4 linked regions of the Saccharomyces cerevisiae S288C genome follow. The gene in region 1 interacts genetically with each later gene. Each region holds a gene or a part of one and is shown in the gene's direction. Other genes may lie near its edges. The genes, in order: CET1, CMK2, PSD2 and PBS2.

Region 1 (7,721 bases):
TTGTTTTGAAAGAGACAGGAGTTCTTGGCTGCAGTATTTTGCAACAGCTTCATTAACCATGTATGTAAAGAAAAAATCTGGAGCGACTTACTGGCTTAGCTTTTTTTACTAACACATAAATAATACTGTGATAAGATAAGAAAAAAACACGAAATGGAAAATACCACGAATCGTAATACTGCAGGCGTTCTTACGAGCAGCAATGGTAACTTTGCCACCAATAGTGTAGCGGCATCAACTCCGAAGAGGTCCAAAAGTGCTCGAAGGAAAACGTTCAAATGCACCGGATATGACGGTTGTACGATGTCCTTCACTAGAGCGGAACATCTTGCACGTCATATAAGAAAGCACACTGGTGAAAAGCCGTTCCAGTGTCCTGCATGTTTGAAATTCTTCAGTAGAGTTGATAATTTGAAACAGCATCGGGAATCGGTCCATGCACATAAAAACCACCATTCTACCAGCTCGCACCAGCGTAAGCCTTCCTCTTCATCTTTATCCTCCTCTTCTTCTGCATCTTCTTCGTCTTCTGCTTCATCATCTACATCATATAGTGATCCTTACAGGAAAACTAATATTAATAGCGGGAACATGCCGATGATGGCAGAAAACGAAAAAGCGCCCCAAATAATACATTCTTCGCCGGAGTTCATTACTAGCACGAGAAGCATCCCACCCATCTCTCCAAGGTCCATTTATAATACCCAACGACAGCAACAACACCAACAACAACAGCATCAACAGGCTCCCTATTATTTTCCTTCCCATCCAATCACTGATAGTTACTACCAGTATCCTCTTCCCAGTAATAATAACACCATCAATTATTTACCATCAGTAGATGTGCAGTATCCTTTGAATGTGAGCCCCTCCTCAACGAGCCATCCGGCCTCTGAGGTAATCATATCGTCCTTTCCTCCGAGGTCCATGCCAAGTACTTCCTTCAAATATAAAGATTCTGCCGACTTTCAAGCACGGACAACTATGAACAAATACAATATTAGACCAAGCAATATCAATGTCAATACTAGTAATATCAATAACCATCTTGATTCATTCTCCCCGCCGTTTTCTCCGTCAACGACAGTTGCTGAAGCAAAACCAATTATTTTACCACAGTATCAGCAGGCATTTAGCCAACCACCAAATGGAAATAAAAACAATAATATGTCTTCCTCGAAGAATGGCGGCAAAGGGGGAGAAAATTTCAAGAATACTGATGATCGCAATGATAATAATAACAAAAAGAGGTCGGAAACTTTATCAGAGTCTGATATTTCGGTCAACACCAATAAGAAAAGGCTTAGTGTTGATTACATATTGACTTGATCGAGGCAATCTGATCTAAGTTTCAAATATTCCGTAGAGTATAAATATCTTACAACTAATATAATTCTTAATATGCGCAAACAAATTATGGTGCGCATCTTTTTTTATTTTTATGTTTTGTTCCATACTAAATGCAGTTTATAAAATTTTTCAAATGAGTCAAGCTATGTATAATCAGTGCTACAAAAATGATAAGATGCAATTGCAAGAAAAAATCCCTTGCATAAAGGGCTTTCTGACCTCTTGCGTTGATCAACGAGAAATAACCGCAAAACTTAATTTTAAACTCCCGCGTCTGCTTTACACAGCCCACAGTAGCATCAAAAACTACGATGTAACACTAACGGTGGATTGTGAATACGGAACGAACAATCCTGCATCTTGACTTCAAAACTTGATCATATACACCTATACCGCCATGGTTATCTCGCCCTTACGCTCACCCGGACCCCCGTTAATTGCAATAATAAGAAAAAGAAAAGAAAGAAGCTTTTTATCTCATTTCACTGACAAGATGACGCTTTTTCCGATTTTAGCAGATAAACTATCACATATAACCACTTTTTTATATTACATGAAATGATGCCCTACAACACCCCTCCAAATATCCAAGAACCTATGAACTTCGCAAGCAGCAACCCCTTTGGTATTATTCCAGATGCGCTCAGTTTCCAGAATTTCAAATATGATCGTCTTCAGCAGCAGCAACAGCAGCAGCAACAGCAGCAACAAAATCGCACTGCGTCATCGTTACAGCAGCCGCAACAGCAACAACCAATAAGCCCGCCTTTGTTTTTAGTAGGGGCCGGTACCAGCGAAAACTCAAACCTTAACAAGAATGCCAACACTAGTACTATCCCTCCTTTACTCTTTAGCAGATCGTCTCAGCATTATGTTGTCCCAGATATAGACCACTCCTCCATAATATACAAGAACAACATCTGCAAATCTTTCAAAGATGACTTATTTTTCTGTCCAAGATCTTTACTTTCTCTCGAAGAACAACAAGCATGCGAGAAAATGGATAGGCTGACCGCTGAACAAATGTCATTGTATCATCAGAACACGCAATCCAGTTCTAATCCTGGTTCTATGTCTTCTTCACCTCCAAATTCTGCTTCTTCTATATTCAACTCTAGGCCGAAGTTCAATCCTTATACATCTCAAAGTTTTAATCCTTTGGAAAGTGTTCAAGAATGATCGCGATATGGACAAACACGTTGTTTTGATTTCTTTTTTGCATATTCCTCATTTGAACAAATCTTGTGTCCATGTTATGTTACGTTATGTTATATTATGTCAAGCCGTTTCATTTCCTACTTATTTTTAATTATCGGTTTCTTCTATTCATGTAGTTCACTATTCAATTAGTATATGTAGATAAAAGGAGAAGGGTTTTATCTGCAAACAGACGCAAGACGTATGTACTAAGCACTAAATACTCATATAACCATATTCTTTCAAAAATACATGCCATTTTTCTGTTTCATAATAATCCTGGAGGCTACAAGTATGGTGATATAATAAATCTTGAACCTTGTTTTACTGGAACTCCTAAAGTCAAGCCATACATAATGCCAGAAACAGGACCTGCGTAGATAACATATAACATGTACCAGTCATGATTACCCAACGTGCCGTTACAAATGATATATAGACCTACATTTTAGTTAGTTTCGTCGTAAGTTATGGTAATAAAGGAAAAGTCCTCTAATGAATCTATAATATAGGTTCACACAAATAAGAGTGATAATTAAAAGCGTATTCGACACTGAAAGATCTGCTGGGAATACTATACTGATATTTCCAAAATATCCCTTATAAATTGAATCTGGAATAGCACTTCTTTTTTTAAAAAACCTTGAATTGTTGGTAGCATTTCTATCCTCCCACTATGAGTTACACTGACAACCCTCCTCAAACAAAAAGAGCTTTATCGTTAGACGATCTGGTGAATCACGATGAAAATGAAAAGGTTAAATTACAAAAATTAAGTGAGGCGGCTAATGGCAGCAGACCTTTTGCCGAAAATTTAGAATCTGATATAAATCAAACGGAAACGGGCCAAGCTGCTCCGATTGACAATTACAAGGAGAGTACTGGTCATGGCTCGCACTCACAAAAACCTAAATCACGCAAGTCATCTAATGATGATGAAGAAACCGATACGGATGACGAAATGGGTGCAAGTGGAGAAATTAATTTTGATTCAGAAATGGACTTTGACTATGATAAACAACATAGAAATTTACTATCCAACGGATCACCTCCTATGAATGATGGTAGTGATGCCAATGCGAAGTTAGAAAAGCCTTCTGATGATTCAATTCATCAGAATAGCAAGAGTGATGAAGAACAGAGAATACCGAAACAAGGTAATGAAGGGAACATTGCCAGCAACTATATAACCCAAGTACCTCTGCAAAAGCAGAAGCAAACTGAGAAGAAGATAGCGGGAAATGCAGTAGGAAGCGTGGTCAAGAAGGAAGAAGAAGCGAATGCAGCTGTAGATAATATTTTTGAAGAGAAAGCTACTTTACAATCAAAAAAGAATAATATCAAGAGAGATTTGGAGGTTCTGAATGAAATATCTGCGTCTTCCAAGCCCAGTAAGTACAGGAATGTTCCAATTTGGGCACAAAAATGGAAACCTACTATCAAAGCTCTTCAAAGTATAAATGTGAAAGATCTCAAAATTGACCCATCTTTTTTAAACATTATTCCCGATGATGACTTAACAAAGTCAGTACAGGACTGGGTTTATGCTACAATATACTCAATTGCTCCTGAACTAAGATCCTTCATTGAGTTAGAAATGAAATTTGGTGTTATTATTGATGCGAAAGGCCCAGATCGTGTAAATCCACCAGTTTCTTCACAATGTGTTTTCACTGAGCTTGATGCCCATCTAACGCCTAATATTGATGCATCTTTGTTCAAAGAGTTGAGCAAATATATTCGTGGTATTAGCGAAGTCACTGAAAATACAGGTAAATTCAGTATTATTGAATCCCAGACAAGAGATTCCGTCTATAGAGTCGGACTATCCACGCAAAGACCAAGGTTTTTGAGAATGAGTACAGATATTAAGACTGGGAGGGTAGGACAATTTATAGAGAAAAGACATGTAGCCCAACTACTATTATATTCACCAAAAGATAGTTACGACGTTAAAATCTCCCTAAACTTGGAATTACCTGTACCTGACAACGATCCGCCAGAAAAATATAAATCTCAAAGCCCAATTAGTGAAAGGACGAAAGACCGTGTTAGTTACATTCATAATGATTCCTGTACCAGAATTGATATTACAAAAGTCGAAAATCATAACCAAAATTCAAAAAGTAGACAATCAGAGACCACTCACGAAGTGGAACTAGAAATCAACACGCCTGCACTGTTAAACGCCTTTGATAACATAACGAACGATAGTAAAGAATATGCATCTCTTATTAGAACGTTTCTGAATAATGGTACAATTATTAGAAGAAAGTTATCGTCTTTATCATATGAAATTTTTGAAGGTTCAAAGAAAGTCATGTAATATTTGAATCATTTCAAAAAAAAATAAGCAAATGCCCTTGAGCGAGAAATTTTTTTTGTTTACTCAAATGCTGTTATGAAAGCTTATGTAATAATAATAATAATGATAATAATAACATAAAAATAATTACTCTAACATTTCTTATTATCTCTATATATCCCTAATAAATAGGCCATTCTTATAATAACCAAGTCTTTCGCCATTTTGATACTATCAATAGCTAAAGCCATCTTAGAGCCATCAACCTCATGCCAGGAAATTGGTATCTCCTCAATTTGGATTCTTTTTCTGATGGCTAAGATCAAAATTTCAACGTCAAAGATCCAACCCTCTGTATGCAAATACGGAAAAATTTTCAATATAGCGGCTCTGTTGAACAATTTGAATCCACATTGTGTGTCTTTGATAGACCTGATGCCGAAGATGAAAACTAAGGTATGGAAACCGTACATCAAGCAGTTTCTTATCATTGATCTCTTTATGACGGCTTCGGTATTTACCATATGTGCTCTGGAACCAATTGCTACTGCTGGTTTAGTCGTTTTTAGATCTGTACTAGACGTTTCAATTTTGCTAATAGCATCTATTAGTTTTTCTACATCACTGAACTTACTAGCACCATCAGCATCGGCAAAAAGACCATACTTACCTCTAATATGTAAAAAACCTTGTCTCACTGCGCCACCTTTGCCTCTGTTTTGAGAAAACTTGATGATTCTGAATTGTTCGTAGTTCAATTTGAACTGTTCTTTACAAATTTTCAAACAGTATTGTGTGGTATTATCTGTGGAACCATCATCCACTATGACAATCTCCCATCTGGAACCATATTTTTCCTTTAAAAAGCTGATTGCGTCTGTCAACATTAGTAAAATTCTACCTGTCTCATTATAGCTTGGGATAACAACAGATAAAAATATTTCTTCGTCATCTTGGTGTTCATTCAAGTTAGGTAAGGCACGACTAACTTCATGACCTTTTTCATCAATAGCTATGTATTTGAGCTCCTCTGGATATGGCGGCCTTGGTGTATGCGAAAATAAATAGACCAATAAATACAGTGAAAGCACCAAGGCTACTAAGAGCGTAAAAAAGACAGTGTTTCTGTTCTCAATCAGGAATCTCAACGCTCTCATTTTTGTTGTGCTTTGTGTAATTTTTGGCTGCCTCTCTGTTTTTGTCCCTTTCTTACGTTATCAAAAGCACCTAATCTATCCTTACAGCATCCAATTAGATACCACTACCTTTCCACAGTGACTATGGTCCTTTGTGCCACTTTAATTGCGATAAAGCCTTGAAAATTGGCACGTTTTCTTCTTGTTTACACTTTTTTTCGAATACGCCAAATTTCGCTTTCTCATGAAAAAAATGGCATACACTGCTTCGAAAGATACAACAGAGCCATGTGCATTAATATATATAAATTAAAAGGTACTGAAGTGATAACGGTGAAAATAGGATAACTATGTACACTTGACTTTGGACTTGTTAGTTGTGACTAGTATAGAAGTTACAAGATCAAATGGAATAAACCCAAACACCACATCTAATTTTTCAATGGAAAAAGAAAAGTTTCAAGGTGGAAAAAAAATTTTCAGCAGCATCGCAATAAATGTTAAAAAATAATAATATATTGCAACCTATTTAAGATAATACATATGCGTCGATCTATAGTGCATAATTTATATCTTGTAAACTGTAAATACAACGACAATCAGTGCTAATTCAACTCAGGATGCCTCCAAAGAAGTTTAAGGATCTAAACTCTTTCCTTGACGACCAACCAAAGGACCCAAATCTAGTCGCTTCTCCCTTCGGTGGTTATTTTAAAAACCCTGCTGCTGATGCCGGTAGTAATAACGCTTCCAAAAAAAGTAGCTACCAACAACAGCGTAATTGGAAACAGGGGGGCAACTACCAACAAGGTGGTTACCAATCGTATAACAGTAATTACAACAATTACAACAACTACAACAACTACAACAATTATAACAACTACAATAACTATAATAAATACAATGGCCAGGGCTATCAAAAATCTACTTACAAACAATCGGCTGTGACGCCCAACCAAAGTGGAACTCCAACTCCATCTGCTTCTACTACATCTTTGACCTCTTTGAATGAAAAGCTGTCGAACTTAGAGTTAACACCCATCTCTCAATTTTTGTCAAAGATACCTGAATGTCAAAGTATCACTGATTGCAAAAATCAAATCAAACTAATCATTGAAGAATTTGGCAAAGAAGGTAACAGTACGGGTGAGAAAATTGAAGAGTGGAAAATCGTCGATGTTCTATCTAAATTCATCAAACCTAAGAATCCATCATTAGTTAGAGAATCTGCCATGCTAATAATTTCCAACATTGCTCAATTTTTCAGTGGAAAGCCACCACAGGAAGCATACTTGCTACCATTCTTCAATGTCGCACTTGACTGTATTTCAGATAAAGAGAATACAGTCAAACGTGCCGCGCAACATGCCATTGATTCTTTGTTGAATTGCTTTCCAATGGAGGCTTTAACCTGTTTTGTACTGCCTACGATTTTGGATTACTTATCATCTGGTGCCAAATGGCAAGCTAAAATGGCCGCTCTAAGCGTTGTAGATAGAATAAGAGAAGATTCGGCGAACGATTTATTGGAACTTACTTTCAAAGATGCAGTTCCAGTTTTAACCGATGTAGCAACTGATTTCAAACCTGAATTGGCCAAACAAGGTTACAAAACTTTATTGGACTACGTTTCTATTTTGGATAACTTAGATTTGTCTCCTCGTTATAAATTGATCGTGGACACCCTGCAAGATCCATCTAAGGTTCCTGAATCTGTAAAATCGTTATCCAGT
Region 2 (7,520 bases), on another chromosome or scaffold:
TAAAAACATAAATTTTGGACTGATTATGCCCTTGAATAAATTAATAATTAATGGCTGCTTCAGAATGTATTCATACACATATGCAACTTTATCTAAGTGCTCAAATATTAATGAGCTTTTCTCATAGTATAATGCAGATAAAAAATAATACTAATAGAAAGTACTGTAACATATTCGTTGGCTTCAGTGAAAGCGCATCGGACAGAGCATAATTCCTGGCATATGTTCTACCACAATTCCAATAATCGATGGGCGAACTTTTATTTTCTGCCACGTTAATTGAAGAGGAATAGCCGCAATCCAGGACACCATGCCAAGTAGATGTTGGCATATCAGCTGAGAATGTGGTTCCTGGAACCTTTTTAGTCAACGTTGCAAAAGCTGATTCATATGCTCTACCGCATGCCCAGTAGGCTTGTGCGTCTTCTGTTTCGTATCCAGACATGGCCGTATACATCACTCCCATGTTACCACAAAAAAAATGATGTGGTCGCATTTGGTGATAATGAAGTAGAAAATGTGGTTGTGGGGGAAGTTGTTGAATCAGACATTCTCACGTTACTTTACTTTTTTTGTTAAACTGAAATCTTTAAATAATCAAAGAGTTCAACGTTCGAGTAACTCTTTTTTGTTCTACTTTTAAGTAGCTTCACTTTTCTGAACAATTGAAATAGTTGAACAATTGACCACGCTACAACGGAATTTTGATAAAATAGCAAATGATGTTTTAATATATATAACTATTTATTATTTATGGTGGCTAAAAAATTTTCAGGTTTTCAGGCGACCTCTTCAGTATCCATTATATGCCGCGACAAACCCTTTTTCCAAAAACGGTCATCGATGTTTATTCCGAGTAGGCTCAGTTGCCTGCGCCCGGACCCTTCTTAAGGGGAAGTTCTCGAAACTTTATGTAATTTTAAGTTTAACATAAACTGTATAAGCCGCTGTAACACTGTACCAAGATAGGCGTTTTAATTACGGCCTAGATTGTTTAATATTTTGCTTAGAAATAATAGGGCACAAAAAAACATTCGAGGCTTAAAGTAGTGTCACATAAAAATGTGTCTTCTGGTACTTATTAGAAAAGGCTTCCCAAAAAAAGCACAAAAGAATTTAGTATTGAATGTTCATGCCCCTTGTCGGAATAAAAACGGAAAAAAGGGAGAGTAAACTAGTCTGTTGTAGCAGTAGGCAGTGATGATTATTCCTGGAAAAAATCAAAGATTCTGTCTTACACAACTTATTCAGTACAGTTTCGCTAAGTAAGGAAAGAAACTTTACAAGGGTAAAGTAGGTAAAGTTCTAAACTATATGTCAAGGGTGTCCCAAAATAAAAACTAACAGTACTTAATGAATAGAGTTCCTGGGATTGTGCTGATCCCAGTTTTCTTTGGCAGCTCTGAGCGCTTCTGCAACTCTATGTAGGCAATTTTTAAATCGGTTGACTTTTTCTCTAGATTTGTTCGGTAAAATGAGGTGTTCTTGTGATAAATTTTCTCTTTTGTTGTCACTTACGTCAACGCTCAGCCTAGGACATGATGTCTTAACCTTAATAGTTCTTCTCGACAATATATTTTTGAAATGTTCGTAATTTCTGAAGAAACTATTTTGTTTTTCAACACATACAGAACTTCTCCTCATGACAACACTTCTTACACTTTGATCTCTACTAAAGGTAGAATTTGGTGAAGCTAGATGGACTGGATAATATGGTGATGATTCCGATATTATTTTCAAATTAGGGGTCAAAATTCTGGACCACGTTGAAGGTTCCCCATACGGATCAGGAGCTGGGTTTGAGCAGACCCAATTTGCTGTTCTTCTCGAGATTGTCTTTGCAATAGCAGGAGTTATACGTTGCATTTCGGCTATCGCTTGATTAGTAGTGTCTTTTAAGGCACTTTCGTCGCTGGAAATTACTGTTGCATGTGTCAATTCGATTGAGAAGGGGTTACTATCTCTTGTGGCCTTTTGTTCCGGAAACGTAAGCAGTTTATTGCCTGAATCAGTAGAGACAGTTCTACCGATTTTTTCAAACTTCCTCTGTGTGGTGCTTTGTTCATTGCGAAAATTTGATCGGTATAAGCGATGTGTACGGTTTAAAGTAAGTTCTTGAAGGGTAGGATTGTTGCTTTCATTAATTTTTTCTAAAGAAAAATTACTTCTCAACAAATATTCAGTTTTTGCTGACGTTGTAAGTGGGAATTCGACGGAGAATGTTTTATCATCGCAAACGTTCTCACTTGTGCATGAACTTTTTGTTGTTTTTGATGTAGTGGCGTTCTTTCCCTTTTTATTCAATATCTTTTTCGATATATAGTGTAAATTTTTGGTGTCACTGTCTAGAGAAAGGAAAGTCTTTCTTGGTGTCTTTTCCCAATTTACAGATACTCTATAATTTACTGTCGTAACCGCAAAAGAATCCACTGAATCTAATTTTGACCATCTTATTGTTCGTTTGAAGGAAAAGCATAAAAATTTGCCGGTAAATTTTCCAATTTTCATACCGTCACCATGAAAAACTGCTCTTTTATCGTCAATAAAAACATTTGGAACATTAACGTTAGTTCTCAAATACAGAATTGCCTCGCCGGTTTTTTCATCCTTTACGCTCTTATATATGAGATCGTGGAAATGCTTGACAAACAAATTATTTAAATTTGCATGAGGTTCTGCAAATAGCAACATGTTGTTTTTAATCCTTCCAAGAACTTTTTTCATTAGTGCAAAATAGGGAGTGAAGACAGCATGGAAAGCGCTTTTTAACGTTTCATTCGTAAAGTTCAAACTGTTCACGGAACATTTTCCAGGCCAGTGGAATCGTACCCAATAAACAGTTGGACATAGAACTAGGACTGGCATACACTCTTCCATTTGGAGAATGGATATTAGTATAATGTAAATATAATTGATTTCATCTGGATGTCTCTCAAAGTCAGCAACGCTGATTCGTTGGATGTATTTGTTTGAACCTGCCAACAGCCTGAAGTACTCTAATTTTTGTTTGTATGTAGCGAAATTAGTAAATTTAGCCAATCTTAGCATGCCTCTAGAAAATGATATATTGATGCTTTCGAAGCCTGGTAATCTAGAGTATTCAATGAACATGATTGAAAAAGCACTAGGCCAGGTGATTATACCGCAGACTTACGGTAATATAAGGGCAAGAGAACTAAAAAAATCAATAATGTAGGCTTATATTACAGTTCTTTGTGAGATATTCCTTTCTAGAGCGTTTTCTGTGTCCACTCAATTAATATATACACTTCCCGTATCCTAACATTTACTGACACAATGATAGGCACAACGCGCGAAGGAGCGGTGGGGCTTTGAACAATAAGGACCCTTACATAGAAAAGGCGTTAGAACAACAATATGGTTAGGCCATAGAAACCTCGGTGTCTTTTAGGAACTTCACAGAATAGAACATACTGCAGTAGATATAAATACACCACTGGGGCAATGCAGCCTGGTTTTTTCCAAATATACAAAACACTTCATGATACTTACTAATGGTCGTTGATACAGTACTCATTGTATCATTGCAGGAGAGTTAGGTTGGCTTTTTTGCATTTATTTATTTATTCATTTACTCAATTGACAGGCAATGTCAATGATTTTTTGGAAGAAATTTGCCTAATGTTTTTACTCAGTTACTCACCGCTCCCTGGATAACATAAGGTTCATTTGCTTCCGTACTGATTTTTTTTGGCAGTCTATAAGCCACTATGTACTTCCCAATGCTCCTGCAGGCATATTCTTTTTCAATTTTCATGTTTTTACTTCCAGTCGTTGAGCATCATATGGATTCTATGTTGATGAGGCTTTTCAGAACGTGCTGTACTTTCGGAGAAGCGCCCGCTTTAACGCAGCGCGAAGAGAATAATTGAGGCTTATCTTAGAACCCTGCCCCCTTTGAAGCCACCCATTGCTGTTTCTCTTGGTAATCCTAATAATATAAAACAATACGATATTGTTCAAGATCAGCAGAACTTCAATTCGTTGATCAATCTTTTCGTCACCTTTTCTTCTATCACATCGCCAATATAAATATAGACACCAAAAATGCCCAAGGAGTCAGAGGTCATAAATTCTGAATTTCATGTAGATGTCCAAGATCCAGAGCGTCTAAACGGCCACCCTGTAGCAAAATTTATCAATAAATTAAGCGGTCAACCTGAATCTTACGTCAACAGGACTAATTATATTTTCGGTCGAACACTGGGTGCCGGTTCCTTCGGTGTTGTGAGACAAGCCAGAAAGTTGTCCACAAATGAAGATGTTGCTATAAAGATCTTATTGAAGAAGGCATTGCAGGGAAACAATGTGCAATTACAGATGCTGTACGAAGAGCTGTCCATTCTTCAAAAATTGAGTCATCCGAACATTGTGTCATTCAAGGATTGGTTTGAATCGAAGGATAAGTTCTATATTGTCACTCAGCTGGCAACAGGAGGTGAATTATTTGATAGAATTCTGTCTAGAGGGAAGTTCACAGAAGTGGATGCTGTTGAAATCATAGTTCAGATTCTTGGTGCCGTGGAGTATATGCATTCCAAGAATGTTGTTCATAGGGATTTGAAACCTGAGAACGTTTTGTATGTTGATAAGTCAGAAAATTCGCCTCTGGTAATTGCGGACTTCGGTATAGCTAAACAATTGAAGGGGGAGGAGGATTTGATATACAAAGCAGCCGGATCGTTGGGTTATGTGGCACCAGAAGTCCTCACACAAGATGGACATGGTAAGCCTTGTGATATATGGTCCATTGGTGTGATCACATATACTTTACTGTGCGGTTATTCTCCTTTTATTGCCGAAAGCGTTGAAGGATTCATGGAGGAATGTACAGCTTCGAGATACCCGGTAACCTTCCATATGCCATATTGGGATAACATATCTATTGATGTTAAGCGTTTCATCTTGAAGGCATTGAGATTGAATCCAGCTGACAGACCAACTGCTACGGAATTGCTGGACGATCCATGGATTACTTCAAAGAGAGTTGAAACTAGTAATATTTTACCAGACGTTAAGAAAGGGTTTTCTTTGCGTAAGAAATTACGTGACGCTATTGAAATTGTGAAGCTTAATAATAGAATTAAGAGGTTAAGAAATATGTATTCATTAGGGGACGATGGCGATAACGATATAGAAGAGAATTCCCTCAATGAAAGTCTTCTGGACGGCGTCACACATTCGTTGGATGATTTACGTCTGCAATCTCAGAAGAAAGGGGGAGAACTAACAGAAGAGCAAATGAAATTGAAGTCTGCATTAACAAAGGATGCCTTTGTTCAAATTGTCAAAGCTGCAACAAAGAATAAACATAAAGTTTTGGCTGGTGAAGAGGAAGACGATAGCAAGAAAACACTGCATGATGATCGGGAGTCGAAGTCAGAAGACTAAATTACGGACTTGAATTCGTGTACATAAATTCGTATATAATATTTAATGTGTAAAGCTAGTGACGATTTTATGTAACCAGCAGCTACACTTCATGGCATTCAAACTATAGACCTTTTCTGGCATTACGCCTCAAGCTTCTTTTTTCCCGAGAATTATCTTGTAGTTGCCTAACGGGTTCTGAGAAGATCTCTATATCATCACAATTCCTATCACAATCTTTAGCGCCATTGTGTAATTCTCTTTTCCCAAAAGATTTATCTGTCCTATCTTCACCTTTTCTTGTCAATGTATTCTCCTCACTCAGATATTCTGAATCATAGTCATCGCTAACGTCAATGTCAACTTCATTTTCACTTTCCTCGGAAACGTCACCATTTACATCACTCGAGTAATGCACCGTGGTTCTTCTCTGAGAGCTTGTTCGCAAATGACGTCCTTCAGTACTGCCTGTAGGGGCAGCAGTTATGCGCTGAATAGTCTCATTTATGAATATACTGAAAATTTTCAAAAACTCAATTAGATTGTCTATACCCTTTTTTGTATCATCGGTGTCATTTTCAGTAAGTGATGATAAACTTTCCAAATACTCAATGAAGTTGCTCAAAGAATTCGAGTCTCCTGCAACTTCAAACCAATGCGGCACCTCGGCAAAGTGAACATCATTGAACTGTAAATTACGGATACATGCAGGAGTGTTCCTATATATAAGTTTAAGTTGACACTTGTTTTCATTTTGTGCGGTTTTTGCAGGCAGTATTTTTGTACCCTCCTCTTTGAATTTTACGAAGTAATTAAGATAAGTTGACATGTCATTGAAACTGTAACTAGTGTTTACTGAACTGCATTCGTTGCCAATCCAGAATGGTGGTAAGTAGAAATCTCCAACTCGTGGAATTCTCGCTATCATAAACTCTGATGTCCTTAACTTGTAAATTTCGTCTACGGTGGGATCATCAATTGGTGTGTGTGTAAATTCGTTTGCAAAATATTCACCCCATTCTTCATTTATTTTAACTGCAGCTCGTAATCTGTCTGTAGTTACTTTTTCGCTCAATGATTTCCGAACACCCTTTAGAAATTTCATCTGACTATTGATCTTACTCAGTTTTCCTTTGTCGCTGGGCTTCCTTTTCTTTCGATTTTCCAACTTTTGACTCATCAAAGAGCATAAAACTTCACAACTATCTAATATGTTATTGGCCCCGCACATAGCAAACCTGCTGGCGTGAAAAGTTTGATGGTTGAACCCTGTATCGCCTTTCAAGTGAGTGAGCCTTTGAATTTCATTATGGAAAAGTGCGGAGTAGCTACAATTCCAATCGATCATGCATCTCAATAATATTATTCTATCTAATGGTTCCATCGTCAACAAACCACCTCCATTAAAATTTAGAGTAGATAAAATATCACTATTACCACGCCATTCTTTTGGTAAGCCCCACTCCTGGATTAAGCTTCTGAGTTTGCCAACCAGTTTTCCATATGGATTTTTCAAACTAAGAAATCTTTTTAGCGTGAAATTTCTATGAGTTTGGTTGTCTGCTCTTTTCTCGGAGCAGAATAATAACCTCAAAAGACTGCAAAATAGTAGATTCATTTTATCCTGACAAATTCGAATATTCTTCGCAGAATGGCCAGCCACCTTTAATTCTAGTCCTATCTCCACATCTTGAAATGACAGGTTCAGTAGATCGTCGCTGAACACCCATTTAAATTTGACGATAAAAGAAAGGATCTTCATAACATCGCCTGCATATGGGAGAGGGGTGCAAAGGGGAGGCGCCCAATTGCTTTCCGTTACCGTCTCATCACTCATAAACTTTGCAAAGTCAGAATATCGTAAAGGAATATTTGGTGACCAGTTTAATGTATTCAATGGTCTATTATTAGAAGTAGTGTGTTCACTGATCGACTCTACCTTGTTAGTGTCGTTCGAATGTGTTTTGATATTAGAATATTTGCTTGCCATATTTGCCTCCATTTCTTTAGTTTTCATTTCTTCATCACAGGTACCTTCATATTTCTCCCGCTTTTTAGTATTTTGGGTAGCAGCATCCAGTGATTCGTCAATTGAACTATTGTGAGAAAGTACAACAGGTTCTTCTACA
Region 3 (8,159 bases), on another chromosome or scaffold:
GAAGCTATCAAACATATTGACGATTTTTACGATTCTTACAATAAAAAGAAGGAACAACAATTGGAAGATGCTGCTAAGGAAGCTGAGGCTTTCTTAAAGAAAAGAGATGAATTTTTTGGTCAAGACAATACGACCTGGGATCGTGCACTTCAATTAATTAACCAAGATGATGCCGATATCATTGGGGGTAGAGACAGGTCTAAGCTTAAAGAAATTCTTTTGAGATTGAAAGGTAACGCGAAGGCTCCCGGTGCTTAAATGATGATGAATAATAAGAACCATAATGAACTAAGGAAGAGAAGGGGCTTATTCCCTATCATTCCCGTCATACATGAGTATCATACTTGATAGGTTCAGTAAATAACTAATTCATACTGTAAATTCATTTATCAAGACAACTATAATATAGATTATTTACAAACTTGTAAACTCTTCTCTTCTAAAAAAACACATCACATAATACTAAGCTGAAACAAAAAGAATAGTATATATTTCCCAAAGTTGCAATGCCAATACTTTTTCAAGTAAACATTAACCAAGGACTTCGCAAAGAATTTTGCGAAAAATGGGCTGATTTTCATTTTACTTGTTGGATCCACGAAGGTGAATGTAAGAAGCATCACGATGCACCGCAATTTGTTGCCCATTAATCTGCGCCTTTTCGTGACGAATAAATATTCGATACACTGCCTTAATATAGTCCATTTTAGACTTGGAAAAAAACCCTTGGTGAAATATGAATTTATTATCTTTTCGTTTATATTTGCATAATTATCATCAATTGTAACTTCATGTATTTCATTTAGTCTGTCCATTACATGCTTCAAATTTGATGAAGATATGGGCCAATCATTATGGTTCTTGACCCCAAGGTATTGAGAAAAGTTCCTGACTTCGTGGCCGCCGACATTCTTATTTGATTTCGTCCCTGAAGTAAAAAAGAATTTTAATGTTCTGTGATATACTGCCAAAACTGTGAAAATGGCATTGATTGTGAAGAAATCTATTAAAAATGGCCTATGGTCAAAAAGCACACGGAATGGTAACGAACTCCTGTCCAGTTTGGCAAATAATACAATAATCGCTAAACACACAAGAATTTGCTGGAATTTTATTAATGTACCCTGGGAAAAATTTTTTTTTTTCAACCATTGTGTTAATTTTGCGATCTTTAATTTGGAGGCTATAGCTTCCACAAGAAAGTGTGCGATAATCCACGAAGGTACCTCACCCTTGGTAAGCATTAACGATATTCCTACAATGGAAGACCAGTGAATATAATGATTTTTTAAAAATGGGAACTTCATCAAAGTTGGATATAGTATGTTCAGCAAGACTAATATAGTAGACTCTCTTAGCCATGGCATGATATCATTTATTTGAATATTTTCACCCTGTAATTTTTTCAATTTCCATTTTTTGACATAAAATACTAGGTTTATTCCATAGACTTGGGTTATTCTTTTCAAGATGATGACGAGTTGTTTTCTTCTCTTCTTGTTCAAGAGGAGTAGAAGCCTTCTTATTATCTGCTTGAAGCCAGAAACTGCTTTCCCAGTACCATTTGGACGATTGTGTTTCATATAGTTAGCAAGTGTATACTCTCATTAGCTCTGTTCGCGATGTGTATTTCGTGGTGCTTTATATAGGGTTTTTAACTTTTCCCCATGAACATTCGCTGTTATGTATTCGCAACTAAAAATAATGTCTCTCTTTAATTTTAATTTACATCCAAAGTACGGAAATGGTAACTAAACTATATACAAAAAAAGTTCGCTCAAAAAAAAGTTTAACTATTGTCCAATTGTGCCCATTTTGGTAAATCTGTTTTGAACTTGAATTTGCCATTAATCTCCTCATACTTCCAAGCATGCAACCATAATTCTAGGTCTGATAGCACAGGATCCTTTAAATCAACAGTATGACATTCAGGACAAAATGTTTCCATTGTCCGACAATTATTTTTTGTCTCATCGACAAATTTTTGAAACCTCACTTTCAATTCCTCAGCATCTAAATCCTGCTGATTCTCCCATCTAGGAAACTGAGTTATAAACTTAAGCCTTTCGGGGTATTTTGTAATATGCGAACAATAAACACTATCGTTGACGATGGGATGACCGAGCCTAGCTAAATGGATTCGAATTTGGTGTGTTCTTCCAGTTATTGGCTTACAAGCGACGACAGTTTCATCAGCATGAGAGAAGTATCTTATTGGGTAGAACTTGGTAATAGCATCCTTCGATGTCGATAAACCAACTGGAAACTGTCTCTTTGGATCGATAGAATATATGGGTGTCATTTCCACTGTAACTTTGGAAGTGTCCTCAAAAGTCGTTTCCGCCGCATTTTCATTGTCCAATATCAATTCGGAGTGAGGAAATCTTCCCTTGACCCTTGCCAAGTAGATCTTAATCATATCTCTTGAACGAATACTCTTCTGGATTTCCCCCGCACTCTGACTGTTCTTGGCCAATATCAACAAGCCTGATGTGATCTTGTCTAACCGATAACAAGGAAGAGCATCTACACCATGTAACTTCAGTAATTCAGTAATTGTGTTCTGGTAAAACTGACCGGTTGGATGCACTGGTATACCACTGGGTTTATCAATGACGAGGATACTCTCATCTTCAAAAACAATATTGAATCCCGCTATTCTGCCAGGTAAATCCTCCGCTTCAACTTCCTGGCTACACCATTGTTTTACCGGCGGTTCGTGCTTATGCGTAGTTGTTTCTAAAACATCATGATTCTTGATTATGGTAGTCATGAGATGATCTGGTACCAGCGGCACACCATCTCGGATCAACCTATATGTGCCTTTCCTTATTTGGTCCAAATAATAAGCTCTTGGGCGAAGTTTAAATTCACTAACGAGAACGTCTATTAGTAACTTACCCAACCAGCGCCCCTTCACGAACGCTGATCTTCTGTTATAATAGGGCCGTACCTTTCTCAGTCCATTCTGTGTATATACCTCAATAACTTTGATAGTTGACATACTTGACAATCATCCTTTTGCCCACTGATTGTCTCGAGCAATCGTCAATAAAGTTTTCACAAGAAACATTTATTTGCCTTTTAATGAAAGAAAAAAAGTAAATTTTTCATTAACTTTTATCATTGTTATCAATCTTCTTGTATGACAGCAAGCTATATATACATACATATGCAAATCTAATGTACATAATTTCAACTATTCATACCATTAGTACCATAAAGTCATTCTTTTTACTGTAAACTACACTTGCATTATCCTTCCTCGTCCCTCTTTATTCTTATAACGTTGAACAGTGATTTCTTACCATGTGTATTTTTGTACTCAACCCGCAAAAGATAAGCATCCTCATACAGAAGTATTATTATTACCACTGTTACTTTTATTGTCGTTATTTGTCTTGCGTTTTTATGTTTATGGAGATAAAGTGGGAATGACTTTATCATATGCAATTATTAGCCGCTATAAGGCTAAGATTCTTCAAATTTATTTCATTTTTCTTTTACCCTTGCCACCCTTGCCCAGTTGCTCCTCCTCTGCGGTTAGCAACGCATCGCGCTCCTTTTTAGCTCTTGCTTTTTCTTGTCTTTTTTGCTCTTCCTCTAATTTTTTGGCATTCTCTTTCCTCGAACCTTGTTCCCATTTAGAAGCTTCCTCCGCTTCTAGCTGCTCCATTTGTGCTCTTTGTTTAGCATGTGCCTGATCTCTTTTTCTTGCTAAGCCAGCTGCTTTCTTTGCGGCGGATTCTGAAAATCTTTTACCCATCTTTTTACTTCCTCTTTGCTATTCTATTATTTCCTGTATAGGCAGGTTTTGTGCTCAATTGATAAATTCTTTTACCTATTAAATATAAACTTGAGTTTCAACTTATTCAGCTTTATTTTAAACATTATACAAGTTTTTCATTTTGAGGGGTCTTTAACTGGAAAAAAAAAGCTTTCACGACTCAAAGAAAAAAAAAAAAATTTTTTTAGGGTAAAAAAAAACTAAGGGCTAATATGAAAAATACAAAGGTTATGTTACTTTAAAATGAGGTTTGGAAGAAGGAGAAAGACAAAAAAGCAGGGCACATGTCAAACTCTTGGAAACTTGAGATCCTAGCCCTAACGCATGTGCTACTTCAAGGAATTCTTCTTATATATGACAACTATTCCAATTTGATGCTAAAACTAGCCCAAAGTGGTTGATGCTGTATCAATTGGTAAAGAATCCTCGATTTTCAGGAGCATCCAACGACGAAGATGAGGATTATTAAGGGCAGAAAGCGAGGCAAGAACAAGAAGCCAACGCTAATTTTAAAAATTCATGTCATTCAAGCTGAAAATATTGAAGCCTTGAAGACATTCAATTGTAACCCGGTATGTTTTGTTACCACTAATACATTTTATAGTCAAAAGACGAACAAGCTCAAGAACTCAAATACACACTGGAATCAAACCTTGAGGATCAAACTTCCGAGAAATCCAACATCTGAATGGTTAAGGATTATAGTATACGACGCCCTACCAACCGGAGCTCCCCCTACTACCCCCAGTAGACCAAGGACAACCACTGCAAATACATCTTCATCGACACTGTCAAATTCAGGGCTAAGTTCTCACTCTCATTCGTCGAGAAATTTGAATGTTACGTCCAAAGGTAATCAAACTTCAACATCAATTAATTCAGTATCATCTTCAGCTACACCGGCCCCTTCACATTCTTCCTCTTCTCTCTCAACAACAGGTCCCGGGTCCACACACAAAAATAGGATTAATAGCTATCTATATTTGGGTGAAGCAAAAATTTCATTACTGGATTTATTCAAGAGGAAGGACACCACGACGAGCTATAAATTTTCAATTGAAGCTCAGCGGTACCATCTATACGATATGAAAGGAGGGAAAGACCAAGATTCCTTGAACTGCAACTTTCTAGTGGGCGATATTTTGCTTGGATTTAAGCTAGAATGTAACGTTAAAAGAACCCCGACTTTTCAGGCTTTCAATGCTTGGAGAAATGAGTTGAACACTTACTTGGGCAGAATAGATAGAAATAAGGCCCGCATGAGATCTTCTAGTTCTTTGCCACCTCCACTAGAAGATATGTTGAGCAATAGTTCAGCTGTTAGTGGAAATGAAATACGACGCGAGAAACCATATAGCGATACTGATCTAGCCCACGATGAAGAGGTCAATGCCGAGGATGAAATAGATGCTGAGGAATCTATTGAAGATATGAATAGCAGCGGCAGCATTTGTACGGAGAGGAGGTACGATATAGACAATGATACTATATTCGACTCTATATCTGAGGTTGTTTCGCTAAATGATGAAGAACTAGATATTCTAAATGATTTTGAAGAAGCAGATCATCCAAATGTGCCAGACATAAATGTGCATGACATCGACGAAGATACCCGTATCAGTCTATCTTCAATGATAACAGCTTTAGATGAATATGATATCGTAGAACCAGAAGATGTTGCAAAATTACCTGCAGTGTCGGAAAATGACATAACATCAGTGGATGACGAAGAATCTGAAAACCAACAGGAAAGTGATGAGGAGTTTGATATATATAATGAGGATGAGCGTGAAGATTCTGATTTTCAATCAAAAGAATACATTGGGAGTCGGCTTTTACACCTGCAAAGGGGTAAACATAATAAATCATATGCAAATTACTTATACAGAAGAGCAAAAAGTAACTTTTTTATATCGAAAAAGGAACATGCGATGGGGGTAGTATTTATGCATATTGGGGCTATCAAAAATTTACCTGCATTAAGGAATCGGTTGTCCAAGACTAATTATGAAATGGATCCATTTATCGTTATTTCGTTTGGTAGAAGAGTATTCAAGACATCTTGGAGAAAACATACTTTAAACCCAGAATTTAATGAATATGCCGCTTTCGAAGTTTTTCCCCATGAAACGAATTTTGCTTTCAGTATCAAAGTTGTTGATAAAGACTCATTTTCATTCAATGATGACGTTGCAAAATGCGAACTGGCTTGGTTTGATATGCTGCAACAGCAACAACATGAAAACGAATGGATACCTTATGAGATACCATTGGATCTCACTGTTGAGCCAGCACATGCTCCTAAGCAACCGGTATTATATTCGAGCTTCAAATATGTTTCATATCCGTTCTTAAAAAAGAGCTTTTGGAAAGAAGCTGTTGACACATCAGTCAACTTAGAGAGACTCGACATTATTCAAGTAATGCTCTATCTTGAACGTCTTGGTTCATTCACGATGGCCGATTCTTTTGAACTCTTTCAGCATTTCAATAAATCTGCTTGGGCCGGCCAGAGCATTACTAGATCACAATTAGTTGAAGGGCTACAGTCATGGAGAAAATCCACTAATTTTAAACGCATCTGGACATGTCCTAGATGCATGCGTTCATGCAAACCAACTAGAAATGCTAGACGTTCTAAACTGGTTCTAGAAAATGACTTGATAACCCATTTTGCCATATGTACGTTTTCAAAAGAACACAAAACTTTAAAGCCGTCGTACGTCTCATCTGCATTTGCATCCAAGAGATGGTTCTCTAAGGTTTTGATAAAATTAACTTATGGTAAATATGCTTTGGGATCTAACAATGCAAACATCTTGGTTCAAGACCGAGACACAGGGATAATTATTGAGGAAAAAATAAGCGCACACGTAAAGTTGGGAATGAGGATTATATACAATGGTAAAAGTCCCGAGTCTAAAAAATTTAGATCCCTCTTGAAGACTTTATCAATCAGGCAAGGCAAAAAATTTGACAGCACTGCATCTGCCAAACAAATTGAACCTTTCATAAAGTTTCACTCGCTAGACCTTTCACAATGCCGAGATAAAGATTTTAAAACATTCAATGAATTTTTTTACAGGAAACTAAAACCAGGAAGCCGGCTGCCTGAAAGTAATAATAAAGAAATATTGTTTTCACCAGCAGATTCAAGATGCACAGTGTTCCCAACTATACAAGAATCGAAGGAAATATGGGTGAAAGGAAGAAAATTTTCTATTAAGAAACTAGCCAATAACTATAATCCGGAAACATTTAATGACAATAACTGCAGTATTGGTATATTTAGACTGGCGCCACAAGATTATCACCGGTTTCACTCACCATGTAATGGTACGATTGGAAAACCTGTATATGTGGATGGAGAGTATTATACTGTAAATCCAATGGCCGTTCGTAGTGAGTTAGACGTCTTTGGTGAAAATATCAGAGTTATTATCCCCATCGATTCTCCTCAATTTGGCAAACTACTGTACATACCTATTGGTGCAATGATGGTTGGATCCATACTATTGACCTGCAAAGAAAACGATGTAGTTGAGAGTGGACAGGAGCTGGGCTATTTTAAATTTGGAGGTTCTACTATAATAATCATTATCCCGCACAACAACTTCATGTTTGATTCCGACCTTGTGAAAAACTCTTCAGAACGCATTGAAACGTTAGTCAAAGTCGGGATGAGTATAGGACACACATCAAATGTGAATGAATTGAAGAGAATCCGTATTAAAGTAGACGACCCAAAGAAAATTGAACGGATCAAGAGAACAATTAGTGTTAGCGATGAAAATGCCAAGAGTACAGGAAATGTAACATGGGAATATCATACTTTACGGGAAATGATGAATAAAGATTTTGCTGGGCTATGAAGCCGCCGAAAAATTGGCTGTAGTTAGTGGTTACCAAAATGGAAAAAAAAAAAAAACATGAACAATCTCCCTCAGACTTTATTATAGACTATAGCGTGTACAAACAAGTCATCGTTGATAATGAAAGCAATGGTTTCATACCAGGAAATTTCCTATGAAAAATATGCATTTTTATTAGTAACAAAAGAAACTATATTCCTAGTCCTCTTGCAGAAAATACGATATAATACTTAAGTTAATATTTACAGTGCAGTAAGTACCTTTTTCATGACCTCATATTCGTTTGTTCCTCTTGCAACCTGAATGGAATTTTTTTCAAAGGTACTTCTCGGCCTTTCTTGTTAGATTGCTTTCCATATGTTTTATCGGAACCCAATCTAGCATAATTTATAGTCCTTTTCTCCTTTGAAACATCAATACGATCTAGGAAACTTTGTGAGAGAGATGGTATAATGGATTGGCATAAAATGGAGAGGATTCTAGACGTTTCCATAGCCAAA
Region 4 (8,464 bases), on another chromosome or scaffold:
TGAGAAATGAGGCAGCGGTCCCAGATCAACTTTTGACTCCTTTACAACCGTATACCATTTTATTGAAAGATGGAGAAACAATAGCTACGATGTATCCTATACCTGCGTATCCTGATTTATTGCCGCTAGGGCTCTTAAATTTCCTTCTAGATGAATTTAACATGGAAGTGGAAAAGGGAGATAGTTTTCCTTATTACGAGACTTTATCACTAGAAGAATTCAAAAATGTCTGGTTTCATAATGATGGTCACGTTTGTATTATGGTGTTAGGCGAAATACCAGAACTGGATTATAGTATGGATACTGAAGCGGACACAAATGATAATTTTGGAACAGAAATAGAAACCACGAAGCACACCACCCAATATAAGAAACGAAAAGAACGTCGCAATTTAAATCTAAGTATGCAGTGGGAGAAGCAATGTCTAGGCATATTTGACCTCAAACCAGCATACCCTGGACGGTCAGCGCATGTGGTCACAGGAACATTTCTGGTCAATGCTGGTATTCGTGGAAAAGGTATTGGGAAAACACTAATGGAAACATTCATAGAATGGTCAAAGAAATTAGGATTTACGTCCTCCTTTTTCCCGTTAATTTACGGAACGAACGTAGGAATCAGAAGAATTTTGGAAGGATTGAACTTTAGGCGGATTGGAAAGCTGCCTGAAGCCGGGATTCTCAAGGGCTTTGATGTCCCAGTAGATTCTTTCATGTATGGTAAAGAGTTCACACATATTACGAAAAGTATAGATTTGTTACGAGATCCTCAAAAGAGTATCGAAATTGGGAAATATGAACGATTAAAGCATTTTCTGGAAACAGGCAAGTATCCTTTACATTGTGATAGAAACGAAAAGGCTAGATTAAGAGTACTTTCCAAAACTCATTCGGTATTGAATGGCAAGTTGATGACAAAAGGAAAAGAAATCATTTATGACACGGATCAACAAATCCAGATTGCATTAGAGATACATTTAATGGAACATTTAGGCATCAACAAGGTGACCTCCAAAATTGGTGAAAAATACCATTGGAGAGGAATCAAGAGTACTGTTTCGGAGGTAATCTCTCGGTGCCAAAAATGCAAGATGAGGTACAAAGACGGGACAGGGGTAATAATTGAACAAAAGAGAGCAGTTAAGCAGGCGCATATGCTACCGACGCAGCATATAGAAACTATCAACAATCCAAGAAAAAGCAAGAAGCATGATAATGCGTTATTGGGACAGGCAATAAATTTCCCTCAAAATATTATTTCCAGTACGCTGAATGATGTGGAGGGTGAACCCACTCCGCCAGACACTAATATCGTACAACCCACATTCCAGAACGCCACGAATAGTCCCGCAACAACAGCTGAAGCCAACGAAGCGAATAAAAGATCCGAGTTTCTTTCCTCAATACAGAGCACGCCACTATTGGACGACGAACAGTCAATGAATTCCTTCAATAGATTCGTGGAGGAAGAAAACTCAAGAAAAAGACGAAAATACTTGGATGTTGCCTCCAACGGAATTGTACCCCATTTAACGAATAACGAATCGCAGGATCACGCGAACCCCGTCAACCGTGATGAACGAGATATGAACCATTCAGTTCCCGATTTAGATAGAAATGACCATACTATAATGAACGATGCTATGTTGAGCCTCGAAGATAACGTCATGGCCGCTCTAGAAATGGTCCAAAAGGAACAACAACAGAAGATAAATCATCGAGGTGAAGATGTGACTGGCCAACAAATCGATTTGAACAACAGTGAAGGTAATGAGAATTCAGTCACTAAGATTGTTAACAACGAATCTAATACATTTACAGAGCACAATTCTAATATTTATTATTAAATTGCGACTCTGCCAGAGACGGTCACATCACCAACCCTAGAAACTATAAAGTTTGTACAGAAAAAAGGTACATTTAATGATGCGTCCACTTTTGGAACAGGGTTGACAAGTCTTAAATCTTATTTCAGAAGTGATTTTTGAAGTAAAATTGGAAACTGAAATTGGAAACAAGGCACTCAACTCAATTATGCTTGCATGACGAAAGGTTCTGTTACAGTTTTACGTTGAAACCTAGGTACTGCAGAAATCCATAATCGGAGATAAATAACTAAGCTTTGTGCTGCAAAATTTTCCAGATTAGGAAACCTGATCCTCAGTGCCCTTTTAAGTACTGCTGTATCTGATGCCGTGAACGAGACACTATTGGCTGCGTGGGCACGTACCAAGTATACTCATCAAAATTTGTCTTAGGTTTTCCGATGCGGAAAATGGCAGCGCACAATTTAAATAGAAAAGGAGTTAAATGTACAGCAGCAAAATCAGTCACTCACGGAGAAAAGCTACGGTAGCGTAACGAAGAGCACATTGCTACTAGCAGCCAGCTAGATAATTGCAGCAGTGTACAGTTTACGCGACAATAAAGAAAGCATGATTTTCTTTTTCAACCAGATCCGTTCAATATTTACAGCTTTGCATACGCCAACTCAACAGATCCAATTATCAAGAAGGGCCTTTTTCCAATTCTTAGGCTATTTGGGTAGTTGTGTTGTGATTTCATTAGCAGCTCAATCGAAATACGTGCAGTAAGAAATGAAATAATGACCTGCAACAGTCCTTCTTGAGATGGAATGAAGTAATTGCTCTTTGAACGAGAGCACAAAAGCAAGCAGAAGTCGCGTATGTCAAGCCCATGATATAGCTGCTTAGATATATAGGTAGATATAAATAAGCACAATGGCTACAGTAATTGTGCGGTGCAGGGAGGCAATGTTTAGTGCATCTCCTCTACATCATTTCTATTTTTAATCTCGTCCACGAGAACGATTTAAGGAAATGGGGCTTCAAAAATAAAAAAATCAAATGAAAGTAATAATCTTTCAGCTTAGACTTATTTTTAGTTGAAACACTTGAATAAGAGTGCAGACACTCAATCGTGGTGTAGCTACAAGAACATATGGTGGCGTGTTTCTGCTGCAACTGTCAAGATCGTCTGTGTCTTAATGAGGTGATATATAGAACTGCTGAATACGGAGCCGTTTGTCTTTTACTGCGGGATTAACTTCAACAGCTACGGCCGAAGCCAATTCTGGCAAAAGGCAATGACTAAGTCTTGTTTCTCATGTAGATTACTATTTTGAGCGTGTTGCTTTTCTGTTCCCCTTGAGCATAGCAGCAGGCACGGAAGCATACAGAATATTCACTAACATGAGAACAACTCATTACTAGACTACTACCAGTTACTACACATCGATACAACTCCCCAGAAATATCACTGTTGAGAGTTCATGTCAAGACGTAGTATAGTATTGCAACAGGAAAAAAAAATCTTATTGCGTAGCACTCTGTATCTATTTTATATATCTGTTTCTATATTTGATTAATCTCTTGTTATCTTGGTGATGATCGCACAAGTATGTACTCCTGTATCTGCAAGAATATCTGTTTTAAACTTTTCAAAGCAAGGAAACCCCGTCTTATATAGGTTATCCGCAAAGGTCACATTTTCTTGCAAATAGAAGAAAAAGCACCCACAAGCACACTAACACAGTGCCAGAGCAAAACTATATCCTTTGCATCCGATCTCAAACGCTGTTCTTATCGCATCTGTCTTCGTCCTTTCATCTGCATTTACCTTTTCTTTTTCATCCTCTATTTGCCTTTTCATTAGTGGCAATTTTTCCAGTTTTTTCCCTCTGCGTCCCGTTGCACCTGAAAGGATCTTTCTAACGTGTGTTGTCTACTAGTGAGCGATTTCGTGAGCCATACACGTTCTATAGAAAATTGAATAAACTTTACTTCAAAGGGATCTGGACACAGAGATAACTGCTTACCTGCTTGCCGGAAGAAAAGAATTACTAAAAAAGAAGACAAGGGTAGCTGCTATTGTGGGTACACGTTTCACAGAACTACTTTTTCCTTGTCCTTCTCCAGACATCAACGTCATACAACTAAAACTGATAAAGTACCCGTTTTTCCGTACATTTCTATAGATACATTATTATATTAAGCAGATCGAGACGTTAATTTCTCAAAGATGGAAGACAAGTTTGCTAACCTCAGTCTCCATGAGAAAACTGGTAAGTCATCTATCCAATTAAACGAGCAAACAGGCTCAGATAATGGCTCTGCTGTCAAGAGAACATCTTCGACGTCCTCGCACTACAATAACATCAACGCTGACCTTCATGCTCGTGTAAAAGCTTTTCAAGAACAACGTGCATTGAAAAGGTCTGCCAGCGTGGGCAGTAATCAAAGCGAGCAAGACAAAGGCAGTTCACAATCACCTAAACATATTCAGCAGATTGTTAATAAGCCATTGCCGCCTCTTCCCGTAGCAGGAAGTTCTAAGGTTTCACAAAGAATGAGTAGCCAAGTCGTGCAAGCGTCCTCCAAGAGCACTCTTAAGAACGTTCTGGACAATCAAGAAACACAAAACATTACCGACGTAAATATTAACATCGATACAACCAAAATTACCGCCACAACAATTGGTGTAAATACTGGCCTACCTGCTACTGACATTACGCCGTCAGTTTCTAATACTGCATCAGCAACACATAAGGCGCAATTGCTGAATCCTAACAGAAGGGCACCAAGAAGGCCGCTTTCTACCCAGCACCCTACAAGACCAAATGTTGCCCCGCATAAGGCCCCTGCTATAATCAACACACCAAAACAAAGTTTAAGTGCCCGTCGAGGGCTCAAATTACCACCAGGAGGAATGTCATTAAAAATGCCCACTAAAACAGCTCAACAGCCGCAGCAGTTTGCCCCAAGCCCTTCAAACAAAAAACATATAGAAACCTTATCAAACAGCAAAGTTGTTGAAGGGAAAAGATCGAATCCGGGTTCTTTGATAAATGGTGTGCAAAGCACATCCACCTCATCAAGTACCGAAGGCCCACATGACACTGTAGGCACTACACCCAGAACTGGAAACAGCAACAACTCTTCAAATTCTGGTAGTAGTGGTGGTGGTGGTCTTTTCGCAAATTTCTCGAAATACGTGGATATCAAATCCGGCTCTTTGAATTTTGCAGGCAAACTATCGCTATCCTCTAAAGGAATAGATTTCAGCAATGGTTCTAGTTCGAGAATTACATTGGACGAACTAGAATTTTTGGATGAACTGGGTCATGGTAACTATGGTAACGTCTCAAAGGTACTGCATAAGCCCACAAATGTTATTATGGCGACGAAGGAAGTCCGTTTGGAGCTAGATGAGGCTAAATTTAGACAAATTTTAATGGAACTAGAAGTTTTGCATAAATGCAATTCTCCCTATATTGTGGATTTTTATGGTGCATTCTTTATTGAGGGCGCCGTCTACATGTGTATGGAATACATGGATGGTGGTTCCTTGGATAAAATATACGACGAATCATCTGAAATCGGCGGCATTGATGAACCTCAGCTAGCGTTTATTGCCAATGCTGTCATTCATGGACTAAAAGAACTCAAAGAGCAGCATAATATCATACACAGAGATGTCAAACCAACAAATATTTTATGTTCAGCCAACCAAGGCACCGTAAAGCTGTGCGATTTCGGTGTTTCTGGTAATTTGGTGGCATCTTTAGCGAAGACTAATATTGGTTGTCAGTCATACATGGCACCTGAACGAATCAAATCGTTGAATCCAGATAGAGCCACCTATACCGTACAGTCAGACATCTGGTCTTTAGGTTTAAGCATTCTGGAAATGGCACTAGGTAGATATCCGTATCCACCAGAAACATACGACAACATTTTCTCTCAATTGAGCGCTATTGTTGATGGGCCGCCACCGAGATTACCTTCAGATAAATTCAGTTCTGACGCACAAGATTTTGTTTCTTTATGTCTACAAAAGATTCCGGAAAGAAGACCTACATACGCAGCTTTAACAGAGCATCCTTGGTTAGTAAAATACAGAAACCAGGATGTCCACATGAGTGAGTATATCACTGAACGATTAGAAAGGCGCAACAAAATCTTACGGGAACGTGGTGAGAATGGTTTATCTAAAAATGTACCGGCATTACATATGGGTGGTTTATAGCGTTAATATCCAAATAAAAGCAAACAGGCACGTGAATATAACAACAAAAAAAAAGCAGACGAAAAGCTACTGTGGAAATGATGCGGCGAATACAAAAAAACCTTACATATACATATGTTTATTGTAATAAACTTGCATTATACTCGTTATAGACATATATATATATATATATTCATATATATATATCGTCTGACTTCCTTTTGTCGAACCTAAAAAAGGGCACGAATTATGACAGAGTATTGAGGGGATGTTATTTCAAGCACCGGCAAGTGAAGCGATGTGGACGTCAATATATTGTGTTATTCGATTATTGCTACGGCCATCGACTCCTCGAAATTATTTACGTTCGGGGCTGACAACGCAAGAAAGAAAAAATGCTCTGGAATTGTCTGATGGTTTTTCCGCTCTTTACGGCTCAAGGCTAGGAAAGAAAAAAAAGTCCAAAATCATCGAGAAAATAAAAGGTGTTTTGAAAGTTCAAATCCACGTTATTGAGAGTAGATGTGGAGTCTGGACCAGGAACTATACCTGTATCTTACCCTAACTTCTAAATTTTGCTACTTTCACGGAAAACAGTAAATAATTACCTATCAAGATAAAGAGCTCTTACATTATTAGAAACTTTTTGTTACTGTTGCTTTCCTTTCGCCCATTGTTTTTACCTTACCATTAGCATCACTGATTCCACACTTGTATTGCCTTAAAAAGAAGGAGGGTATTCTATTGGCTCTCAAGGAAGTCATTCCTATCCATTTTACTTAAAGTTATTACCTTTTTTTGATAACTAACAATGCATTTTAGAAGAACGATGAGTAGAGTGCCCACATTGGCATCTCTTGAAATACGATATAAAAAATCTTTCGGCCATAAATTTCGTGATTTTATTGCTCTATGTGGTCACTATTTTGCTCCAGTTAAAAAATATATCTTCCCCAGTTTTATCGCGGTTCACTACTTCTACACGATATCCCTGACATTAATAACTTCAATCCTGCTATATCCCATTAAGAATACCAGATACATTGATACATTGTTTTTAGCAGCGGGCGCAGTTACACAAGGTGGCTTAAATACTGTGGATATCAACAATCTAAGCTTATACCAACAAATTGTTCTGTATATCGTATGCTGCATATCAACACCAATTGCAGTTCATAGTTGCTTGGCATTTGTACGGCTTTACTGGTTTGAGCGCTACTTCGATGGTATTAGAGACTCTTCTAGACGAAATTTTAAGATGAGAAGAACGAAAACAATCTTAGAAAGGGAACTAACAGCAAGAACCATGACCAAGAATAGAACAGGTACCCAAAGAACGTCTTATCCTAGGAAACAAGCTAAAACAGATGATTTCCAAGAAAAATTGTTCAGCGGAGAAATGGTTAATAGAGATGAGCAGGACTCAGTTCACAGCGACCAGAATTCTCATGACATTAGTAGGGACAGCAGCAATAATAATACGAATCACAATGGTAGCAGTGGCAGTTTAGATGATTTCGTTAAGGAAGACGAAACGGATGACAATGGAGAATATCAGGAGAACAACTCCTACTCGACGGTAGGTAGTTCGTCTAACACAGTTGCAGACGAAAGTTTAAATCAGAAGCCCAAGCCAAGCAGTCTTCGGTTTGATGAGCCACACAGCAAACAAAGACCCGCAAGAGTTCCCTCAGAGAAATTTGCAAAAAGAAGGGGTTCAAGAGATATTAGCCCAGCCGATATGTATCGATCCATTATGATGCTACAAGGTAAGCATGAAGCAACTGCTGAAGATGAAGGTCCCCCTTTAGTCATCGGGTCCCCTGCGGATGGCACAAGATATAAAAGTAATGTCAATAAGCTAAAGAAGGCCACCGGCATAAATGGTAACAAAATCAAGATTCGAGATAAGGGAAATGAAAGTAACACTGATCAAAATTCCGTGTCAAGTGAAGCAAACAGTACGGCGAGCGTTTCGGACGAAAGCTCGTTACACACAAATTTTGGTAACAAAGTACCTTCATTAAGAACAAATACTCATAGATCAAATTCGGGCCCGATAGCCATTACTGATAACGCAGAAACAGACAAAAAGCATGGGCCATCAATTCAATTCGATATAACTAAACCTCCTAGAAAAATTTCAAAAAGAGTTTCAACCTTCGATGATTTGAACCCAAAATCTTCCGTTCTTTATCGAAAAAAAGCATCGAAGAAGTACCTCATGAAACATTTTCCTAAAGCGCGGCGAATACGGCAACAAATTAAGAGAAGGCTTTCTACTGGTTCAATTGAGAAAAACAGCAGTAACAATGTTTCAGATAGAAAACCTATTACTGATATGGATGATGATGATGATGACGATGACAACGACGGCGATAACAACGAAGAATACTTTGCTGACAACGAAAGCGGCGATGAAGATGAACGAGTACAG

The links.
Region 2: mutations in CET1 (region 1) and CMK2 together harm fitness more than expected from each alone (negative genetic interaction), as found in Saccharomyces cerevisiae (2 studies listed by BioGRID).
Region 3: mutations in CET1 (region 1) and PSD2 together harm fitness more than expected from each alone (negative genetic interaction), as found in Saccharomyces cerevisiae (2 studies listed by BioGRID).
Region 4: mutations in CET1 (region 1) and PBS2 together harm fitness more than expected from each alone (negative genetic interaction), as found in Saccharomyces cerevisiae (3 studies listed by BioGRID).

Annotation. Positions count from the first base shown.
Region 1 is NC_001148.4:115,159-122,879, forward strand, and holds CET1 (polynucleotide 5'-phosphatase), read left to right. Parts: upstream 1-3,223; coding exon 3,224-4,873; downstream 4,874-7,721. Other genes in the region: USV1 (Usv1p), read left to right, coding at 154-1,329; YPL229W (uncharacterized protein), read left to right, coding at 1,909-2,529; ALG5 (dolichyl-phosphate beta-glucosyltransferase), read right to left, coding at 5,005-6,009; NEW1 (New1p), read left to right, coding at 6,609-7,721. UniProt on the Saccharomyces cerevisiae protein: First step of mRNA capping. Converts the 5'-triphosphate end of a nascent mRNA chain into a diphosphate end.
Region 2 is NC_001147.6:292,669-300,188, reverse strand, and holds CMK2 (calmodulin-dependent protein kinase CMK2), read left to right. Parts: upstream 1-4,068; coding exon 4,069-5,412; downstream 5,413-7,520. Other genes in the region: YOL014W (uncharacterized protein), read right to left, coding at 122-496; IRC10 (Irc10p), read right to left, coding at 1,351-3,111; ESC8 (Esc8p), read right to left, coding at 5,516-7,520.
Region 3 is NC_001139.9:832,900-841,058, forward strand, and holds PSD2 (phosphatidylserine decarboxylase 2), read left to right. Parts: upstream 1-4,242; coding exon 4,243-7,659; downstream 7,660-8,159. Other genes in the region: clathrin light chain CLC1, read left to right, coding at 1-258; PEX35 (Pex35p), read right to left, coding at 453-1,583; pseudouridine synthase PUS6, read right to left, coding at 1,790-3,004; LSO2 (Lso2p), read right to left, coding at 3,488-3,766; methionine--tRNA ligase MSM1, read right to left, coding at 7,925-8,159. UniProt on the Saccharomyces cerevisiae protein: Catalyzes the formation of phosphatidylethanolamine (PtdEtn) from phosphatidylserine (PtdSer). Plays a central role in phospholipid metabolism and in the interorganelle trafficking of phosphatidylserine.
Region 4 is NC_001142.9:175,681-184,144, reverse strand, and holds PBS2 (mitogen-activated protein kinase kinase PBS2), read left to right. Parts: upstream 1-4,041; coding exon 4,042-6,048; downstream 6,049-8,464. Other genes in the region: SPT10 (Spt10p), read left to right, coding at 1-1,847; MCO6 (Mco6p), read left to right, coding at 2,436-2,594; TRK1 (Trk1p), read left to right, coding at 6,839-8,464. UniProt on the Saccharomyces cerevisiae protein: Kinase involved in a signal transduction pathway that is activated by changes in the osmolarity of the extracellular environment. Activates the MAP kinase HOG1 by concomitant phosphorylation at 'Thr-174' and 'Tyr-176'.